Linked DNA regions of Oreochromis niloticus. The protein of the gene in region 1 purifies or fractionates together with the protein of each later gene. This does not show direct contact. Links are inferred from orthologs where the notes say so. Each region holds a gene or a part of one and is shown in the gene's direction. Other genes may lie near its edges.

Region 1 (8,036 bases):
AATGGAGGAGAGGTTGATGTGAAATATAAAACAATTAAAACTTGTTTTATAAACTTTCAGTTAGTGGCTACAAAAAGTTGGTTACAAAAAACACTGGTGGAAGAGGCCTTTGTCCCACTTCAAATAATGATGCCAAGTCATCATTAATTCAAAAATGGGAAAAACTAAAGGAGTAGGGACAGGACAAGCACAAGAGGATGGATGGATGGATGAATTTGTGTGTATCCTCCTTCCTAATAGCACCTCATGGTGTCTGCCTTCATCAGCACATCTGTCCTGAGCTTCTGAAACAACATGTCTGATCTTTTGGCTCCACCTAGTGGCGGCTCATCCCTACTTCCAAAAGCACTAGCACAATATAAATAAAGACAGAATGATCTGTAAATCTTACAAATCCATATTTTATTGACAATTCAAATTTTACTATTTAGAAAAAAAAATCAATTCATTTTCAGCTCAAACAAAAATGTTAGGCAAGAGCAGGAATAGGTTGGAAAAGTAAGTGGCACTACAAACAAACGGCTGAGGGAACATTTTACTGCCATTTATGTTAAATAACAACAGGTCAGTAACATGGTTGGGTATAAAAGAAGGATCTTAGAGAGGCGGGGGTTTTTTGGAAGTACAGACTGGCAGAGTTTCACTCTTCTGCAAAAAAAAAAGAAAAAGAATGTCAACAAATTATGGAAAAACTTCAGAATAATTCTCTCCAACGAAAAACACTTTGAATATCTCTTAAAGTGCATTATATCATCAAAAGATTCTGATGTGCAGAAATCTGTGTGCAAGGGACAAGGTCAACACTGGGTGATTTTGGGGCTCTCACGTGGCATTAAAAACATGCATGATTCTGTCACTGAAATCACAGATCACCACGCCATCCATAAATACAGGATGAAACTCTTCTGAAATGTTATCATGGAATATTTCACCAATACTTACCAAAGCTTTAATGGACAACATCAAAACAGAGAAGAGACAGGTGTTGAGAGATCTTCCAGTATGTCCTTTGACCACAAAAGATGGTGCACTACATGCCAGCATCACCATCAAAACCTGGCTCCTGAGAATCACCTCCAGTATCAGTGATGCAGTCAACTTTCATGGCTTTCTTACATGAAAAACTCTTGAAATGACAATTTCAACCAATGAAACTAACTGTTAATAATTTATTTCCTCACCTGGAAAAAAAATTGTTTGAGTGCACAAATGTTCTAAGGTAATATACAGTGATGTGAAGAAGTTTTTAGTTTTTGTGTATTTGTCACACTTGTTTCTGATCATCAAATAAATTGTAATATTAGACAAAGATAAAACGCAGTAAATGCAAACTGCAGTTTTGAAATGATGATTTCAGTTATTAAGGAAAAAACATATCCAAGCCTGTGTGAAAAAGTAATTACCACCTAAACAGAATAACTGGTTGTGCCACCCTTGGCAGCGAGAACTGCAATCAGACATTTGTGATAACTGGCAATGAGTCTTTCACAAAGCTGTAGAGGAATTTTGGCCCACTCTTTTTTCCAGAATTGTTCTACTTCAGCCACATTGAAGGGTTTTCTGTTTAAGGTCATAAAACTGTTCCGAGTTTGATTGGGCCTCTCCAAACCCTTTTTTTCAGAGGTGAAGCTGCTGGTGTGTTTCAGATCATTGTGCTGCTACATGACCTGAGTGTGCTTGAGCTTCAAGGCACAAGCTAGTGGCTAGCTATTTTCCTTCAGGATTTTGTGGCAGAGAGCAGAATTCATGGTTGGTCATGGTCATGAATTGTCCAGGTCATCCAACAGCAAAGCAGTCTCACACCAATTACTTGTTGACCACAGGGCTGGGTACATTTGGATGGCTTTTTGTATTTTCTGAATGAATAAAATCATTTAAAAACTGAATATTGTGTTTACATTTTTATTTTTATTAAACCTTTATTTATACAGGTAGACCCATTAAGACTCAATGTGTCATTTAGAAGCGAGACCTGTTCCAGACAAACATATTAAACTTACAACAATAACAGAAACAATAAAATAGCTAAACTTGTCTAATGTACACAGTCATATCAAAGGCAGACAAGTTCCCAGTGATGATTTCACAAAAACATTTATACGTCTTTTAAAGTCTGCAAGTGAAATCAGTTGAGAGAGCTTCAAATCCTTCTGTAATGTTTTCCATGAACACGGGGCAGAAAAGAAGAATACCTTCTTTCCAAGCTCTGTGTGAACTGATAGAACAGTGAATGTAATGACGTCCTGAGACCACAGTCTATGAATAAACTGTTTGCATAACATGTACTCTGATAAATAACAGGGCAATAAACCAGAAACAGACTTATAGATAAAGTGATACCAATGAACCGTCCTGCGTAAGGCCAATGGGGATCAGTCAACAAGAGAATATAAAGTACAGTGGCGTGTTAAAGGTTTACAGCCAATTATAATTTTTAATGCCACATGATAGACAGAATCCAACAGATGAAGAGAGTGAGCACGGGCATTCGTGTAAATTGTATCACCGTAATCCAGGAGGGGTAAAAAAAGTGCCAGCAACAAGTCTTTTCCTTGCTGTGAAAGACAAACATGATGTGTTTCTGAAAAAGAACCCCAACTTCAGCCTCAGCTTCTTTATTAGGTGGTCAATGTGTGGCTTAAAGGAAAGATTTTTATCAGACACAATACCTAGATATTTGTATGAGGCCATAGTTCCAATGGAAATGCCTTGAGCAGATACAAGAAAAGAAAGTACTGCCATCACCCTCCTTCTGTTTGAGACTTCTGTTTGACTTTGCTTTTTTCTGCATTTAAAACCAGTCTGAGCTGACTCAACTGTGACTGAATACTATCAAGAACTAGCTGTAATTGTTTGAAAACCATGTCGATGGTACGAGAACAATAATAAAGAACTCATCTGCATAAAAATGCATAGATTCTTTTATTGCGTGCAAGGCTTCATAGACGTCACTGAAAACTTTTTGGGAAGCAGTTACAGTACTTTGCAGTTTCCTAAGACCAGACTGGAAAGGAGATAAAATTCTGTTTTCATTCAGATAACTTTTAAGCTTTTTATTTACTAGCCTTTTAAGAATCTTAGCTAAGATACAGAGTTTGGAAATTGGCTTGTAATTATTAACCGTTGAAGAATCCCCGCTTTTCAGTAGGGGGAGTACAAAGGCATGCATCCACATCTCTGGTAAAGTGTTCTGTTGTTTAGAAAGATTCAAAATATAAGACACTGGCTCAGCTATGATATTTGCAGCTAGAAGCAAGAAGAAAGGAGACAGATTGTCAAGACCGGCGTTTTTGGTGTCAAGGCATTTCAAAGCCTTACATCCCTCTTCTACCATAAAGAGTGTAAAGGGAAAAGTATTAGTAAACAATGAACTACAAGCAGAGTTATATATGTATGTGCTAAACAGAACAAGAGGCAACAAAGTGTTCATAACAACAATTGAGAGTTTTGGTTTTGTCTGACACAGGAGTGGAGTTGATAATTAGGTGAGGAGGTAGCTCTGTGGCAGAGAGAGACTTTATAGTTTGCCAAAACCTCACCTCCTAGGGTAATTTAGACTGTCAGTGGTTAAAGTCAAAAAGTAGCCACAGTTGGCCTTTTTGATGGAAGCAGTAAACCATAAACGCAGTAAACGCAACTGATGAAAACATAGCCAATCACCATCAGAATCTGACTTTCTCACAGCTGCCCAGGCTTGGTTTCTCTCATGTTGGAGACCAGCCACTTCAGAATTGAACCAGGGGCTCCCCCGACCTTTAACTCTGACCTGGCAAAAGGGAGCATGTTTGTCCACAAAGCAGATAAAACTCTCCTGGAAATATTTCCGAGCTAAATCAACATTGTCAATCAATGTAATATGACACCAGTTAAAACTGAATAAGTTGTGAAGAAACAAATTTCTTTTTGTGATGTTGCGGGGCTTGGAGTGTGAGATTTTTGCGTTTCCCACAGCACCAGCTATGCCTGCTTAATGGGGTTGGAACCATCAGTCATCTGTCAGTGCGCCCCAGGGTGGCTGTGGCTACAATGTAGCTTGCCATCACCAGTGTGTGAATGTGTGTGTGAATGGGTGGATGACTGGATATGTAAAGCGCTTTGGGGTCCTTAGGGACTGTTAAGGCGCTATATAAATACAGGCCATTTACCATTTACCATGTTGTGCAGAAGTCAGATTGGCACACAGGTGACAACCCTATTCCATATTATGACAAGAACCAATCACCTAAGTAAAGAGAAATGACAGTCAATCATTACTTTCAGAACTGAAGTACAGTCAGTCTGGAAAAGAGAGTTCCAGTAGCAGACAAATCTGTGCTAATCAGGCCTTTATGGTCAAATAGCTGCTAAGAAACCACTACTAAGGAAAAGCAACAAACAGAAGAGATTTGTTTGGAGCTAGGAAAAACAAGCAATGGGCATTAGACCAGTAGAAATTTGTGCTTTTTTCTGATGAGCGCAAATTTGAGATGCTTCCATCTTTGTGCGACGCAGAAAAGGTGAACGGATGGTCTCTATAAGCATGGAGGAGGAGGTGTGATAGTGTGGGGGTGCTTTGCTGGCGACTCTATATAAAACTTTATAACATAAAAAAGTTTTAAAGAGACTGAAGGGAAGTTTTCCCCCCTTTTTTCTCCTTTTGTTATATTCCTCCCTAAGCGCCTGTCCCACACTCCAGCCCAGTTGACGGCGGTAATGGACTTTAGTACCGCTTACCAACCCCTTATTAAACACAAAAGAAGAAGAAGCGGAAGCGGAAGAAGCAACTTGGCGTGTTGTTGCTAACTTATCAGCACCTCATGCTATTGTAATTGAAGCTCCTCAAACATTTAAAATGAATAAGCTGGGTCAAGCACAAGACTTTGAGTCATATGAGATCGAAGAGCCGAGCGACGAAGAGCGGGCCGCCAGCAGGTGCGAGGATAATACGTGTGTTTATTTTTAGGGGCCGATTAGGCTAAAGTGGAGATAGCTAGCTGGGAGCTAACATGTAAACAAACTGGAATAGCAGGGAGACTGCGCTGAGCCGCTCTTTGCGGTGAATTTATTTTAACGTGACATGGATGTTACTGCTTAATTATCATTAATTATGATTATGATGCTCAGGATTTTCTATGAGTCTGTTGTGGCCAGTGCAATCCTCTATGCTGTTGCATGCTGGGGGAGCAGGCTGAGGGTCGCAGATGCCAACAGACTCGATAAACTGATTCGTAAGGCCAGTATTGTTGTGGGGATGGAGCTGGACTCCCTCAAGGTGGTGTCGGAGAGGCGGATGTTGTCCAAGATAAAGACAATGTTGGATAACACCTCCCACCCACTCCATGACATGCTGGTCAGTCACAGGAGCACGTTCAGTGGGGGACTGAGATTACCGAAAAGCACCACTGAACGACACAGGAAATCATTCCTGCCTGTGGCCATCTCCCTGTACAACTCCTCCACTTAACACACTGTTTACTGCAACAGCTACACCCTTCTTGCACATGTTCTTTTCAGCTATTCTTAGTTGGTGTATTGTCTGTCTTTGTTAGTGTTTGTTTATAATGGAGCACTGTAACGAAAAATAATTTCCCCTAGGGATCAATAAAGTATTCTGATTCTGATTATAGAAAGGCGGCAGATTTTTATAAGTCTAAATGTTACAGGCAAGCGGATGAGAAGAAAATAAAAACACGAGTGCAGATACTTATTATTGCCGTAATTAGCCAAGAATTTTCTGGATTTATTATTATGGCACTTAATTAGAGAAAATTAAGCAAGACGTCATAATTATTAATATTTATAAGTGATGTCCTGAGACGTCTTGATGTGTCCAATCAGAAGTCCAAAACTTCAAAAGAACTTGTCTACCTGAAGATATGAAATTTCATTATTAAAGCAGCAAATATGTATGTACCGATGGATTTAGTGAGTACAGGCAACTTATTTTGGTTTTGAGCTAAGCTTAAAGCGACAGTTTCGACGTGGATTAATGGTTTCCAAAATTAAGTGCTTAATTATTTGGTCTGTTAAACACTATACGATGCCACCACATGATATAATGTCACATGTGCAGAATAACACATGAATGGTTACTTCAATTTAGTAATCTCCTGGGTTTGAGAGTCTGTTTTTTTTTCTGAAATCTTTCTCTCTGTTTTAGTTCGGAGGATGAGTTGGACGTGCTCCTGAACGGGACTCCGGACCAGAAAAAGAAGCTGATCAGAGAGTATCTAACCGGGGAGAGCGAGTCATCCAGCGAGGATGATTTTGAAAAAGAGATGGAGGCAGAGCTCAGCTCCACCATCAAGACCATGCAGGGAACCTGGGTACCAGCAGCAGGTAACACTCAGCTGCTAGTATTTGTATTTTCATAGTGATATGTCTGGAATTACTTTGCTATCAACTGATTAGATGGCAGTAGAGCTGGGCGATATAAGATTTTTTTCATATCACGATATGTTTTTTTCATTTCAGGCGATAACGATATATTTCACGATATAAGCCAAATAACTATATTTGTAAGATTTAAATGTGCCGTTGCTCACAAGTAAAATGTGAAATAATTAGCAGCTTGTTTTAATTAAAATATTTATTTCCCATAATAAGTTTAACAGGGCAGATGTACTTAAGGAACATGAGACTTCAGTTTCAGATAAATAAAGGCAAATATTGCAAACTACACAAAACGCAGCCGCTAAAGCATTTAAGTTTCAAAATAGAACAAACAAAACAGACTACTAAATTGTCAATTCCACTTAGAAACAAAATATTAATTCTAAAAATAAATCTTAGGTTGTTTTACAGAAGAACAGACAAAATTGACTAACTTTTGTCAATATCAAATAAACTGAGAACTAAAAGAAAATTCTCAATCTCTCCTTGTTGTATAGCTTAGCTTTTCAAACAGTTTTAACAGTTACTTTAGTCTGACAAAAGCCGAATGACGAATTAGCGCTTTCAGTCAGAGATTGAGCATGCACCGCTTTATTGTATTTCCAGACTTGCTTTCGGCACAATTTACAGTGCGCGCTACTCTGTTTTTTGTCAGACTTGAAATAGCCGAAATACCTTCACACTACGGAACTTCTGTGGCCCTTCCGTTCGACAAGCTCTCCGGCATTGGAACCATCATCTGTTTTTTCTTTGGTAACCTTCGCTCACGCTCTCGGTTGATTTTTCTCTAGTCGGCAAACTCATTTCCTTCATTACCTGGGCTGCACGGCTGCAAAAACAAATACACATGTGCGCCTTGGCGCTTGTGCTGTACGTAACAAGTCACGTGACGTGACGCTGCGGCTGTGATTGGTTCGGCTCTGCGCTACTTAATTTGGATTGGCTGTTGTTTTTTTGTTTTTTTTAAGAGGACAAGAGAGATGAGGCCTATCGCAATAGTTTAATTTTTCTATCGAGAAAAAGTTATTTCGCAATACATATCGTTATCGTTTTATCGCCCAGCTCTAGATGGCAGCTATAGCCAAAAGCTGTGTGTTAAGCTTAATCTTAGCTAATTCTAGTCATTGAATGAGCTGACAGTGTTTGTGATGTTGTTGTTTGGAGCATTTTTAATGAAAATATGTTAAAATAATCACCTGTGTGTCTGTGAAGGTTCTCAGTAATCCAGGTCATCGTAGTCTAAGGAGCTTGGAAAGAAAAGCATCTGGTCTTCTTTAAGTTGCTTGAAGACTTTTCACTTCTCATCCAAGAAGCTTCTTCAGTTCTAGTGAAGTTCCTAGTTTTTCACTTTTACAATTTTATACTGTAATGCACTCGGGAATGACATCACTCCTGAGTTCCGACATCTAAGGTATCTGGAACACAGTATAAGCTCAACAATACAACAAACAAAACAAGTACTAGGAAGAGTAGTGTGTTGACATAGGAAGAAGCCAAGTTTAATCCCACGGTTAACTAACTAACTTATCTTGCTGTGTGAGACAGACCGTCTCTGTAAATACAGTTTGTGCTTACGAGTTGTGTATTTGTTCTCTGGTAGAGACCTCAAAAAGACCAGGAGGAGGAGAAGAAGAAGGGGGAGGAGGTGCTGGTGGTGGTCCTGG
Region 2 (7,680 bases), on another chromosome or scaffold:
AGAGTAACTTACAAGTCTGTGCTATCAAAAGCAAGATATTCCTCCATCTGACCCTCTATTTCAGTCATTCTATTCTTGTCATGGCTGCCGATGCCGCTGGAGGTACCAGGCTGCCCATCCAAGTCTGGTGAATTGGATCTGATCAGATGTGCTCTCCGGCCCTGCACATTCAACCTTACCCCCACCAAGAGAACATGAGACTTAGTTAAACAAGGTAATTTCCATAAAAACGAAATCCCTCAAATTCAGCAGACAAACACACGTTGAAAAGTAGAACTAACATAATTTTAATATGTACAAACAGGCTTAATTTAATCTCTATTATATCAACTTACAGAAAAACTAGTTAGATAGCAGCGCAGCCTAATTCCTACTAGTCTATCATTAAAAGTGTGAGTCAAAGCATCATTTTCTCAGAACCATGATACCAATCATGACTTTGGCTCAGATTATTAATTAAAAAGCCAGAGGATCTAGGTCACAAAACCAGAGTCAGCCAGGACTCTTCTATAATTGATGCAAAAAAAGGAGTAATCTGGACAGCCAACATCTACTCAAGACAGACAGACAGAGGCATTGCAGTTTTTCTTTAAATAATAAAGCAAGATATGGCTCTTTTGGGCTTTGAGCATACATAACTGCTGTAAACTGTTTCATAGTTAGTGTTAACAGAGTTTATTGACAGTAATGGCTGATAATTCTTGTCTCTGCTGTTTCAGAGTAAAAGCTGAAGACTGACTGATTAAGCAAAATGCAATGTCCATTTTAAGCGGCAGTGACAGGCTGTTCTCAGTAATGTTTGACATTCCTGAAATCTTCTTCAGCCAAGAATGATAAAAGCGATAACATATCAGCCATAATTATGTGGACACAAATCAAACATAACAGCCTAAGATGCTATCGAAACTGCACCCTCCAAGATAACGTTAGATCAGATGGTGAGATACCACTCACACACGCAGAGATATCTTCGTATATCTGAGAGAGATGCAACAAGTGATCTCTAACCTTATGTATCGACTCAGTGCAGATTGGGACTTTGAGACTTACTCTGTTCCTTCCCTATCTTTCTCCTGGGGTTTCACACCGCTTTCTTTGCCCGCTGACGGCCTGCTGGAAGCGCTGCCTTTCCCTGAGGTAGTATACCACTGGAAGCCTTCATCACTGGGACACAGCAGCTGAGTCCCCAGGATACTGAGTGACACACACAATGAATATGTAAAACAAGTGTGATTCTGTAGAAGAATGGAACACTTTAACAGGTTTTTCTCCACAATCAGAATTAGTCTTTGATCCCACTGCTGCCCCATTTCGTTGAGAATTTAAAAAGGGCTGGCTGCTGATAGGAGACAGCGAATTAGATACCGAAGATGAGGGAAACGTGTGGCCCACTGCTGACATTCATCCTGGAGCCCCTGGAGTATCCCTCCCCCACTGCCTCTTCCCTCATAAAGATCTTTGTCGATCTCCTCAAACATTTGCTGCACCTGCCGTGATGCTGCCTTGTCAAACTCCTATGGGATGGAAACAGGAACATAGGAAAGAGAGTTATTCTTCACGACTAAAGGTGCCGCCTTTTACTTACTGGCAACATATCACTATTCAATGCAAGCATCAACGTGCATGATAATTAGCTCCTAGTCTCTTGAGGTGCATTCAAGTGTTTGTGGTCAAGTTGTTCATGTCATTAAAAAAAAGATCAAAGCGGAGAAAGATGTATATTTAAGAGAATGTCTCTTAACTGAGAGGGTTTGCTTCTCAGAAGCAACTTGAGAACAAAAAAACTAAATAAATCATTGAGTCCGAAAAAGTTTTGTAGAAACAGCAGGGTCGAGAAAGCACGACATAACAACAAACCAGAAAGCAGAATCAGAGTTTGTGTGTACAAACAAAGCATCCACTATACTATATAAATATTGTGTTCATCTGTCTTCTTCTAAATGTTTCCACAAATTTGTGAAAAAGAGGCAAATGTTAGCAACTAAATGAAAATCTAACATAGGACTGCAGCAATGTGTTTGTGTCTATAATAAGACAACAGAAAAAAAATGAAAAACAACATATCTAGTGTTTTAGTGTGCACAGTGTGTACATCCTTTGTTTTACAGACAGAGTCAGGCTGGCATCAATAGTTTTCTCATGAGCAGACTTACATCGTAGCCCCAGGAGAAAACAGAGCTCCTCTCGGTGGAGATGCCAGTACCCGTGGAGCTGTGAATACCTAACCAGGACTGGCTGGAGTCTACTGAGATGACAGTGGGGCACTGAGAGTGGCCTGAGGCAGCAGATGTCTCTGAGCTAAGCACAAAGACAAAACAGTTATGTACCCTGGCTGTAAAAACAACGTGAAGAACCAAATTCCCATATATGAAGTGTCTTGTATTTCTAGCACTCGTTCTTTCTTTTCAGCACACGATTTCTCTTTTCATCAGTTTTTCTTGTACTAGAAGAAATGGAAGAACCAACAACTTGTGTAATCTGAAGAATAAGCCGAGTCTCTGTTACTCCGCTGAGGGAATCGAACTGGTGTCAGCTGCTGATATTATCAAGGTGGAAAGTGAAGGCCAAATGTCAAGGCAATTGAATATTCTAACAGGCTGCCTCATATTTTATTCTTTTAACTGCGCATCTGAAGGAGGCAATGTGATATGAATTAATCCGCTGCTTCTGGGTGTCACATAGCAAGAGCCCTGAGAATCAGTTGTCTGCTCAAGATGGTGTAACATTACAAAATACACAAGCATGAGAATGTGTGTATGTGTGACTGGTTGCAGGCTGTTTTATTTCAGCCTTATTCTGGTGTTGCTTAGGTTTGTCTGCTTACATAACAGCCAAGAAGCAAGGCTTGACTGCTCTGCAGTCATTTTGTAACATACTCTAGGCACTTATTTGAGCACAGAGTTTCTTAAGTACCACTGTCTTTGTTCTCACACAGATTTCAATACAATACTGTAACAAGCTGTTACCTGTTGTGTGCAGAAGCAGCTTCCTGCAGGTCATGGAGGTAGCTCGGAGGGGTTTGGTTGTCGTCTGCTTCTTCTGGGAGAGGATGGTGGTCAAGGCTGCTTCGAGACAACCCACGACTGCAATAAAGACAGATTTAGAGCATTCAGTGAAAAAGCAATCAACAAAAGAGTGTGCAATTGCATTTTGGGATGCTAGGGAAGGATATTAATATGTCAACTCCAACTACCCTGTCTGAATCTGAACACTGTGTTGAAATAGAATAGAAAAAACTATGGGTGCGACTAAGGTGTGCAAAAGCTCCATCACCATGAGTCTTATTAAAATTATTTTTGCAATGAGCAACTGTCAGAGAAACACAGCCTTTATAAAAGGGAATGATAAGGTCAGAGCAGATTACGATGGATCTAAAGAAATCAGATGTAGAGTCCCTATTATAGTCACTGATGAACTTATGGCACATACACAGTGCTGTGAAAACTATTTGCCACCCTTCCTGATAGCTGATTCAGATCACCAGTCAAATGTTAAGATTATACAAAAATAACTCTGGTAAATACAAAATGCAGTTTTTAAATGGATGGATGGGTGAGTGGGTGAAGAAAATAATTGCCCCTAAACCTAATAACTGGCTGTGCCACCCCTGGCAGCAAGAACTGCAATTTAGAGTTTGTGTTTGCGATAACAGGCAATGCTTAAAATTCACTAGGGAAGAATTTTGGCCCACTCATCTGTGTAGAATTGTCATAACTCAGCCACACTGGTGGTTTTTTGAGCATGAAAGGTCATGCCAAAGCATCTCAATCAGATTTAAGTTCAGACTTTGACTAGGGCACTGTAAAACCTTAATTTGTCACCTCCATTCAGAATGCATTTGCTGGTGTGTTTCGAATTATAGTTCTGCTGCATAACCCAACTGTGCTTGAGCTTCAGTGCACGTACTGATAGCCAGACAATCTTCTGCAGGATTTCTGGTAGTGAGCAGAATTCATATTTCCATCAATTATGCTTCATCTAGGTCCTGAGAAGCAAAGCAGCCCCAGACCATCACACTACCACCACTATGTTTGAATGTTGCTGGCAGTTTTTTTTATGAAATGCTGAGTTAGTTTTACACCAGATAAAACAGGACATAAACCTTGTACAACGTTCAACTTTTGTCTCATCAGTCCAAAGATTTTTTTCCCACAAGTCTTCATGAAGGGATCACCAAGATGTTTTCTGGCAAACGAGACGAGCCTTCGTTTCTTTCTGGTCAGCAGTGGTTTTTGCCATTGACCTCTCCCGTGGATGCCATTTTTGCCCAGTTTCTTTTTTTTGTTGTTGTTGTTGAATGATGAACACTGATATTAACTGAGACATACGAGGCCTGCAGTTTTCCAAAAGCCTTAGTAATGGCTTTGTCACCATTTCCAGAATAAAAAAATTCAGTGAATTTGTTTCTCAGCTGTTTTTGAGTTTATGTAGATTGTAGCTCAGTGTGTTGCTTTTTGAGATCCTTTGAGATCTTTTCACCCACTTACTTAAATTATTTCTTAATTCAACAGGTCTGGCAGTAATCAAGCCTGGGTGTGTCTAGTGAAATTGAACACAGCTTTCCAAACAATGTGGTTAATTTATGGCATAACAAGGGAGGGTAAAGACTTTTTCACACAGGAGCAGGTAGGTTTGGATAGGTTTTTCCCCCCCAAATAAATGAAATCATTTAAAAACTGCATTTCGCGTTTAGTTGAAATATTTTTGTTTAATATTTACTCATATATTTGTCTATTTTTTTCGCTGCACTGTAATATGACAAGATGACATGAAGAAAACAGACACCAGTGAAAACAGCTGGAGATTATGTGTTTTTTAAACATTACACTGTGATTACACTTGATTCCATAGTATCTTCCCATAGTGTTGGTTTTGTATCTCTAATTGAGTTAATCTCGTTAAATAAATGTCTACATTTCATTCTTATGGCTTGACAACTTTCTCTGGAGAGAAAATAAATAGAGTGGGTGGTATGAAATAAAAATGTGACAATCATCTAAAATGAGCTGATTGCCATGTTCACACTGCATCTGTCTAAAACAGACCCCGGGCAAGCTGGAATAACACCACATCGATCAACACAAATAATCATTTTTACTCTTTCTGTCACTAGTGTAGGTTAGCAGTCAATCATCAAATCCCCCTCCAATGAATAATAGCAGCATTCAATAACCGTTAGGGAAGGAAAAAAAGAAAGAAATGATGTCAGCTACTCACATCTCGAGTTTGTGCGATACAGGTCTCCGGTTGTATCGTGAAATCATTCTCCTTTGCCTCCGTATTATATGCTCAAACCCTCTCCTCTCCTCCTCGCCTCCACTTCCAGGACGCTCAGGGAACGGTTCAGATGGAGCTCTGACATTTCCTCTAATATTAGCCCGCAGATATTCTGGATAGAGAGGCTGTTCCTTAACGGCTGCAGCTAAGCTACGTCCAAAAAAATAAGCTAGCTACTGGTACAAGGGTGGCCAAATTATTTTTAGAAAAAAAGAAAAAGGCACAAATAGCATCGTACAATTTCCACATTCCCTCATAAAATAATTCTTGGTTTACTAAATGAGCATATTATGTAGCCCAGAAGTTCACTATAATTTACGTTTCTCTCTCTCTCTCTCTCTCTCCCTATATATATATATATATATATAAAGGAATATATATATTTTTTAATGAGTGTTTAACGTTATTGGAGCTATCGCCAGCGCATAGGATATTCTTTGCTAAAGCTAGCATCACCACCAACAACAAAAATACAGCGGCTGTCATGGATACGCAGCTTCGTTGCCCCGAGGGATCGTGGGAAATGTATTTCAGGCCAACTAAATGTTTCTTGAAAGTCAAAGGCTGCATACTTCAATTCCCAGCATTCATTGCAATAGCATGTTGCGTTTATAAAATGTATTCGCCGGTCCTGTAATTTTAACTAAATGCAAGGTGTATATTTATCAAATTTAGTGGAAAATTAGACTTATTATGTAATGTGCGTTTATCACAATGTAAAGTATTTTTTGAATCGGTAAAAACAAAAACAGAAGGTAGGAACTTTGTTTATTATCTGTTTGGCGAGGACGACTGGAATTCATCGTAGGACCTAAATAGTTACAGATGGCGTGAAAGAACGTATTTATGAATAACCGTAATAAGAGCCGCTACAGAATATACTAACACAACATAGCCAATTTAAAAGGAAGACAAGACAAGGTAAGGCCAAATTAAGTTTTCAAGAGGTTGTCGTGACAATCACTAGTAATACGTTGAGTTTATCTAGAAGCCAACGATTCCCTCAAAGTCATAATATAAAAACAGACATTGACGACCTTTCATATGTCTTTGCACATCGCTTTAGCGTCGTATCTTTTTGTTAGGTCTTTTAAAACTGCTACTATGGAGGCTCTGCAGAGGAGAATGATTGAGGAGGACATGGTCCAGTACAAGCTCTTCTTGATCCAGCCAAGCAGCTCTTCTTCACAGAAGACTGAGGAACGTCTGACACATCTAGTAGAGGAGATTTTGGCAAAGGTTGCCCCTCTTCTGATACAGTACATCTGGCAGCATCAGCCATTCAACCTCAAGTATCACCCTGAGAAAGGTAGAACCTTTTCAGCACCCCAGAAAGGAAGCAGTTTAGATATGCACATTGTTTGTCTTTACGTGGTTAACACTTGGTACACACACTAATGGCTGGTGTGTATGGATCTCATTCACAGGTGGCATTCCTGCTCACATTGGTGGAAGCACTCAGTTTGGAGACAATGTTGAGGACGAGTGGTTTATCGTTTATCTCCTGCTGCAAATCACAGAGGCTTTCCCTGAGCTTGCAGCAAGGTAATAGTGATCCTGCTCATAGTTTCTAAATATTTATAAACTCAGAGCAGAGTTTGCACAAAATAATAAAACAAAGGTATCAATAAATAAATAAACACTATTGAAATGCTCACCAGTCATTTATGTCTTTGTTTCCAAAATAATTGTTTATATGTGCAGAGTTGAGGATAATGATGGGGAGTTTCTCCTGATTGAAGCAGCAGATTACCTTCCTAAGTGGCTGAATCCAGACACAAGTGAAAACAGGGTGAGTTTTCCACATGACATGGCAGAGTTGACAGTACTGGAAGCACTGTATGTTTCAGCCCAAATAATTCACTGCCTCCCACAGCATACTATGGAGTTATAAACTGATCCCCAGGCAAGCTTTGGTTTCATTTCAGACCTCCCTACTGATACGTTGAAATGCGATTCACAACACAAGGGCTGTATGTCAAAATATTTTTCATTTTAAATAAAAAAAACAGGAATGTTAACTTTACTTATTACTTAAAATGGTTGTCTGTAAAGACTTTCTCATCGGTCAGCTGTCAGAGCTTAAAGAAAAAGGCTTATTCCATAATAAATGACTGGCAAGAGCCCTCCAGCCATTAAGGGCATCTACCTCCAGCTGTACCTGCATAAGGCCCACGGCATTATCAAGGATCACAGCCATCCAGCACACCAACTAATCTGCTTGTTTTCCATTAAAGAACAGTCTTTATTATCAACCAAGTGTTTGGTCAAGTGTTAGTCTCATTGTCATCTTCAAGTTTGGACAGTATTATTTCAGAAATGATCTGACACTTTACTGAAATGCAATGTGCAAGCCAGGTTAAATAATCTCACTGGCACTACTGCTTACTGCGCAATTACTCA

What was found.
Region 2: the proteins of eapp (region 1) and ecd purify together in Homo sapiens (affinity purification with mass spectrometry; 3 studies listed by BioGRID and IntAct, counting the BioPlex papers as one, with this or other methods). This does not show direct contact. The link is inferred for Oreochromis niloticus from reciprocal best matches to the Homo sapiens genes EAPP and ECD.

Annotation. Positions count from the first base shown.
Region 1 is NC_031983.2:4,398,301-4,406,336, forward strand, and holds the start of eapp (E2F-associated phosphoprotein), read left to right. Parts: upstream 1-4,720; 5' UTR 4,721-4,831; coding exon 4,832-4,911; intron 4,912-6,139; coding exon 6,140-6,318; intron 6,319-7,972; coding exon 7,973-8,036. UniProt on the Homo sapiens protein: May play an important role in the fine-tuning of both major E2F1 activities, the regulation of the cell-cycle and the induction of apoptosis. Promotes S-phase entry, and inhibits p14(ARP) expression.
Region 2 is NC_031978.2:12,751,500-12,759,179, forward strand, and holds the start of ecd (protein ecdysoneless homolog), read left to right. Parts: upstream 1-4,542; 5' UTR 4,543-4,626; intron 4,627-5,217; coding exon of another isoform or gene 5,218-5,264; exon of another isoform or gene 5,265-5,770; intron 5,771-5,876; exon of another isoform or gene 5,877-6,198; intron 6,199-6,343; exon of another isoform or gene 6,344-6,362; 5' UTR 6,363-6,381; coding exon 6,382-6,586; intron 6,587-6,704; coding exon 6,705-6,822; intron 6,823-6,981; coding exon 6,982-7,069; intron 7,070-7,680. Other genes in the region: protein FAM149B1, read right to left, coding at 13-174, 1,051-1,194, 1,366-1,514, 2,154-2,298, 2,967-3,083, 5,218-5,264. UniProt on the Homo sapiens protein: Regulator of p53/TP53 stability and function. Inhibits MDM2-mediated degradation of p53/TP53 possibly by cooperating in part with TXNIP. May be involved transcriptional regulation. In vitro has intrinsic transactivation activity enhanced by EP300.